Linked DNA regions of Ovis aries. The main gene of each other region encodes a partner of the protein of the gene in region 2 in a complex. Links are inferred from orthologs where the notes say so. Each region holds a gene or a part of one and is shown on either strand. Other genes may lie near its edges.

Evidence for each region.
Region 1: the proteins of PDS5B (region 2) and WAPL are in contact, whole or in part, in a crystal structure (PDB 5HDT), measured with the Homo sapiens proteins. The link is inferred for Ovis aries from reciprocal best matches to the Homo sapiens genes PDS5B and WAPL. Residues at the interface, in NP_055847.1 of Homo sapiens: Gln47, Phe88, Ala92, Pro93, Ala95, Trp137, Val138, Lys139, Ser140, Asn142, Ile143, Phe145, Glu146, Glu187, Gly188, Asp189; in NP_055860.1 of Homo sapiens: Lys7, Thr8, Tyr9, Ser10, Arg11.

The regions. Positions count from the first base shown.
Region 1 is NC_056078.1:40,189,946-40,192,704, forward strand, and holds part of WAPL (wings apart-like protein homolog), read right to left. Parts: intron 1,140-2,759; coding exon 840-1,139; 3' UTR 518-839; coding exon of another isoform or gene 452-517; 3' UTR 1-451. UniProt on the Homo sapiens protein: Regulator of sister chromatid cohesion in mitosis which negatively regulates cohesin association with chromatin. Involved in both sister chromatid cohesion during interphase and sister-chromatid resolution during early stages of mitosis.
Region 2 is NC_056063.1:28,630,018-28,633,847, forward strand, and holds part of PDS5B (sister chromatid cohesion protein PDS5 homolog B), read right to left. Parts: intron 3,170-3,830; coding exon 3,055-3,169; intron 1,344-3,054; coding exon 1,211-1,343; intron 891-1,210; coding exon 771-890; intron 1-770. UniProt on the Homo sapiens protein: Regulator of sister chromatid cohesion in mitosis which may stabilize cohesin complex association with chromatin. May couple sister chromatid cohesion during mitosis to DNA replication.

The DNA.
Region 1 (2,759 bases), on a different chromosome or scaffold from region 2:
AAGGAACTAAGCTGTCGTCTAGAATGTCCTCAGAACATTCAATGCCTCAGTAGCTACGCTGCCTTTGCACCTGGCTGGCATGACAACAGTGGCTCAACATACACAGCAGTTGCACTAACAGCAGCACAAGTTTCCCCCTAGAGCTTGCCCAGAACAAAGCAAGAGAACAAGGGGAGAGTATAAATTCTGCCAAAGTGTGTTTAAATACTGCGTGGAACTGTTAACAGCCTGAACCTTTTCCCTCATTTTTGATAGTTGCAGATTGATGTAGTAACTGTCATTTAGCAAATGCAGAATGCATGACGAAGAAGAAATCAGGTGGCCTTAAAAATCCAAATATGAATGATACTGATGAATGTTCTTGGTGTATCTTCAAGGACTTCTTCCGTGACTTTTCTTTGTCTAAGTATAGCTCCAGCATTGCCGAGCACCTGAAGCAAAGGGCAAGCAGCTAGCAGTGTTCCAAGTACTCAATCACTCTAGAGATGGACTTCTGGCCCGTAGTTCCAACAGCACACTGGAAAGGGGAGGGGTGGAGGTCGGGGGCGGGGGGGGGGGGGGGTGGGTGGGTTGGCGGTGGGAGTGGAGGGGAAGTCACAGTTAATTCTCCAAAGCACTGCATCAGAGCTTAAACTATTTAGCTTTATTAAACCAAACATTATGACTCAAAACAAGGTGAGATCAAACTATGGCTTTCATAATACAGTATCAATGTATTTGGCCCTAATAATTCAGTTACCTTAAAGAAACCATGCAATTATTAAAGGAAAATCATTTTTTTGCTTCTGTTCATGATGGCCATAATACTTGTATTTCTACTGTCATTTCTTAAAAAGTATTTATTGAATTTTTCTTTTAATTACAGTATTTATGCTTTGGTTTTCTGGTTGCAAATCATGTGGGCTCTTAGTTCCCTGACCAGGGACTGAACTTGCACACCCTACACTGAAGGTGCCGTCTTCACCTCTGGCCTGCCAGGGAAGTCCTGCATTTCTACTGTCATAGTGTGTCGTATGTAAAACCACAGAATACAAGTTACTTACGGTAAGATTCATGAAGCTCAGGAATTTTTTGAGCATCTCTGTCATTATTGAAAAGTCCCCTTCTGGCAGATACTCCCGCACAGTGGTCACATTGATCTAAGGAAACAAACCAAAGGAGCACTGGTCAGGTGGCAGAACACAGGAGTCTGAACCTTGCACTGTGTAGTTGGTTTTGGCACACATCCTGTTTCAAACTTATACAAGGTCCTTAAACTCCCTGGTTAATATGCAATTTCCTTTTCCACACTCTAACTTTTGTGACCTGTGAGTCCATTCTCTACCCCACCCTATCCCATCCTCAGAAAGAAAGGAAAAAGATAAAGCTGCCAAAGACTACAAAGAAACATTTATGTGCATATTTACTTTTGTAAATGCACAGAAAAATGCCTGAAATAACAAAATGTACTGTAGGGGGTGGGGCAGAACGAGCAGGGATAAGAATAGCAAGGAAATGCAGACTGAGAAAGTATCCATAAAGCTGATAAGGAATGTAAAGAAAAAGATCAAGGAAAATTCTTCATGTAGGCTAGGAATTAACTGTATCTTTCCAAAGGAAATCTAGTATCATCTATAGAAAAAAAATGTACGCAATGTCAGGACAGAAGATTAGGATGTTTCCCTCCGTTATTAGCAAGAAGCAGCCAAACTGTATATAAACCAGTTTATGGTAAGAAAAACACATGGCCTGCTTAAAATGTTGTTTTATTTCAATACGTATTTAAAATGCTTTAAAGATTCATAAAGAATAAAAGGAAAAGCTCTTCTAAGGAGGCTCACCTATAATAAAAAGCACATACAAAAAGAAAAAAAAGACGGGAAGAGGGATGCTTTTGATTTCGTATTTGTTGATGAAGACATGGAAGAGTACATATTATCCTCTTAGGAAATTTGCAACCAATCCCCTCTCTCCCACTTTTACAGCTACTCAGTAAAAGCTTGCAGCTCCAATCCTGAGGGATTTTGCCATCTTTCAATGCTGTATTTTGAACACACACTGAGGCTATATTGAGTGGCACATCGTGAGGGCAACAGCTAGCTGCAGAGGTAATGCAAAGCTGGGTTTAAATGCACCCTAACCAACTGCACAGAGAGGGGCAGGGTAGCACGGTGGTGGGAAGACTGGATGCTGGCTATGAAGATGGCTCAACAAAAAAGGGTGCCTCTCTCATTCAGAGTAAAGAATTAGATCCTAGGTTTCAAGTGAAAGCTTCTCAACAACCCAAATCAAATCCTTTTCTATCAACAAATTACGAGTACAACACAGTAAGTAGCCAAGGCATGGGAAGGAGAGTCAGAGCATTTACTTTAAAAGTGTGCAATAAATGGTAGTGTACAGGAGGTAAGAAAAGGTGTGAAGCGGCATGGCCTACTTCAGAAATTTAGAAACGCAACCAAGGGGTGTGACAGACTCTAATACTAGATCAACTATGCTTCAGTAAAATAAAATACTGGAGAAGCAGTTAAGTTTGGAGTCTTATAGCAGTAAACAAAGCTATCATTTCCTAAATGACAGTGAGTCAAGAAAGACTGGCGGGTTGGAGGGTTAACATGATCAGATGTGCTCTTAAGGAAGTTAGCTATGGTGGTGGTATGCAGGATTTCAGGAAAGGAGAGTTGAGAAAAGCAAGAACAGAAAGGCCACAGAGAAGACTGACCATTAAAACACACCAGATGCCTACCGGGCAATGGAAAGTGACACCAGGGTCTCCTGGGCTT
Region 2 (3,830 bases):
CTCTAATATGCTAAAGCTGTAAGAGCACCTGAACAAAAACACGGTTATACAATAATACTCTCCAGGGAAGAGACCACATATATATACTCTTTTTATCTTAATCACAAAAAAGTGAATGCCTAAATGCAGACAGTCCCTTTTTAGGTGAACCTACAAGGCCTGTTCCAATCTCTATACACTGGGGTTAAGATATTAACTGGTATTCTGCTTAAAAAAAAAAAAAAAAAGGGTAATGACTGTTCTCCTCTCACTTAGGTAGACTATAAACCTCCAAGAGATTCTTAAAAATACCTTTTTTAGATTAATACTACACTTGAGTTTTCTGAGAGTGGTTTGGGAAGATCCCTGTAATACTTCCCAGGTATTAAGCATGCTCCAATGTCAGTTCTCTGATTCTTTCACACCAGTTAAAATTTCAAGGGCTTATAATTTCAGACTGTATCAGCATTCTCCTTCCCGTTTTGAATCAATGGCCATTAACTCGGCAATTTACCAGCTTTGATCACATTTTTGCCAGTGCTCTTAAGACTAACATAAAACTCAGAAAACAATAAAAATTCTATATCATTTTAACTCATTTCTGAACCTATCTGTGTCCTCCAGCTTGGCCCATATTCTGATCTTGAACATGGTTAAGATTCATGGCGACCTTTCCCCATGACATAAGTAGTGGGTCAACTCTTGACACTGACTCTTCCTGATCTTCCCACAACCTAGTGGTGACAATACATTTTATTTCAACTTACACAAATAAATCCTAAAATAACTACCTTGTCAGGCTGGGTGAAAAAACGCGCTGGCAGTACTGGGTCTTTAGGAGATTCCAAACTATATGTGGTGCTTTTTGACATGATGATATTCATGGCAACATCACACACAGTATACAGTTTCTGCAATGGGTATTAAACAAAAAGAAAAAATCAGGTACTTAAGTTGGCAAACTAGAATCTGTGAATTAGGAGTAATTCCAGAACATGCATTTAGTACGTAGTTTTCAGGACAACAGTGTAAGTTAATATACTTATTCTATTACTGTAATTAGTTTACTAGTAACAGCATTACTACCATTCTCTACTGATTCTATATTAACACGAATACTACTATTTACTACTAGTAGAAAAGACTGATGCTGTCTACAGAAGTCTTATACCCTATGCTCAAATGCTTAAAGTCAATACAGAATCATAACTATTTACAAAGAATTACATACTTCATTCATTTTTGCATCATCTGGTCCTTGGGCATCTTTTGTTTGTTTAATATTTTCTACCATCTTTCTGATAAACGCATGACTATTATTTTCATTTTTAGCCATTAGTATTTCCAGAACAAACCAAAGACACCTAAAAAATACCAAGAAAAAAATTCACTATTAAATACAGATATAATTCTAAATATAATGAACTCCAAGAGCAGAAAAAATTAAAAAGAAACAGCTAAAAATCAATAGAGAAAAAAAGTATGTCACATACATATTACAACGTATCAGCAAGGTAGGTATGAGTTCATAACATCCTTTCTCAAAGTCTCACTAATTTTCCTAGGTAGACAGAAAAGTTAAAAAGAAACAGAAATGGTAGAAATAAAGCAATGATCTTAATCCTGAGCTGTGGCAGGGATGGAGGGCTGCCTGAAGCAGTAACTGGGTCATAAAGTGGAGACTCTCATGTGCTAAGATTGACTGTGGTTCTGACTGCAGTCTTTAGGAAACGCAAACAACCGTGAGAGTCTTCATCAATAAATTGAGGGAAAAGTCAGGGCTGACAACTTTATGTACTTAAGGGAAAAAACAAGTTTAAGTACCTCAGTTTCAGGGTAATTATATTAAATTCTATGCAAGAAAAAAATGAAAGTCCTTTGTCTCTGTATTATGCATACAGAATGGGACAGAGTGATCGTACAGAGGAGAAAATGGGAGAAAAGGGAAATGTGAAACAAGGCATCATTCTGGAAGGGAAAAAAGTAACCTCTGAGACCGCAGGCATAGGTTACAGTTTCTTTTCTCTGAGAGAAAGGAGATCACTCAGGGCTGTACTAGACCATTTATAAATACAGCCCCAAATATTTATTTAGTAAGTTTCAAGGAATATTTTATCATTAAAAAAAAAAGTGTTCTAAGAAAGAGGAATGGCAAAAAGTTTTCCTTAGTATAATCATACTAACACAGAATTCATTTGGGAAAACTAATTGCTTATTTTCTAAAACTAGAAACTATGGCAAAAAGAGGGCAAAAGCCTTTTCTCTTGTCATGAGAAAATTACCAGTAATTTAATTTTATTCTCTTGAAGCACCACAAATACTTAACTTAAAATATTTCTATGAATCAAGAAACCAAGAGTTATTTTCCTTTAATAAGAAGCTAAAAGCATAAGAAATTAATTTATTCAAAACCACAGAGGTCACCCTTTACTATAACAGAAATAGGATCTCATCTCTATTTAAGGAAGTCTTACAAAGACTTCTCTAAATACCATTATATTCCCCCATCCCACACCCTGGCAGGTATATTCTTCTGGCATCTCAACAAGAATCTTTTAAAGAACTACAACTGTTATAAACCTAATTTAGTCAGAGAATCAACAGTGAAGTATGGGAACAGTTCCCTGGTTATCAACTTGGCCCATTATTAAATTAGATTATCTTTCTTCCTTACGGAGAAAGACAGGAACTGCAAAGGAAATATGCTTACCATGTGAATAAGAGTGTTAATTCACTCCACATAAAAATCTATACAGTGCTTCAGAAGAAAGTAGGAAGAGATAAGAATTACAAAGCAAACTCTTTAATGGATAACTTCAATAGAAAAGAAATGCCAGACTGGTAGAGAAACAGGACAGCAATACAGTAATTATGCTAAGTTGTTTTGGGAATTATATAAGAAATGAAATATGAAGAGATGGTAAGGGAAAAAAAAGAGAACAAATAAGGTAAAGAACCTTAAACTCCTAAGAAATGAAATAAATTTAAAACACTAATTATAACTGAGATTCCATTATCAGCAGGAAAGGGGAAAAAACTTCAGAAAATATGAAAATGGGATGGAAAAAGTCTTACTCTTTAACGTCTTTAAGTTGTTCAATATCCTGTACTTTGACATAATCTGGGTCATGCGCCAAAAGGTGAATTGTATATGGAACAACATACTCAGGTAGAAGAGACAATAATTTTTCTGAAAAAGAAATAAAACAAAAACATCTAGGTTAGAAAACCAAATCTTACTCATTCTCTTTCTCTCTCTGATAATCTTTATTTCTTGCATCCCAATAATATACCACAATATCACTGGAAGAAAAATACACTGAAAGGTCTAGTGCTGAGGTACATCATAAAGTTTATTCAGTTATCCATCATGGCCAATACTGATATGCCTACTAAACGCACCCTGTGCTGAGCCTACAAAGATAAATATTTCAATTTTCAACAGATACGAGAAAAAGTGACCCAAACTATACTCAAGACTAAGGAACATAAAATCTATTTTTCTTCTTATTAGTAACTCTAGGTTCAACACTCCCTTGTAAGTTGCTGTGCAAAAGGAAAACAACTAGTAAATCTTTCAGTCAGTATGGCACAAAAATAGGAAGTAAAGGTTGATACTATTTAATACAATTTACAACATAAAAACTGATAGAAAAGAACATTGTTTCTAGGGCATTTTAAATAACAATGAAGTATCTTTTCAGTTTAAATTCAAATGTTTTAATTTTTTGACTGAGATCAGTACAATCCATTATACATAGAAATGGAAATCCTAACTAGTTTTAATAAAGGTTACCCAAAAGACCAAGATTCATACTCTGAGCAATTCTTTTTATATTTCCTACTCTTGT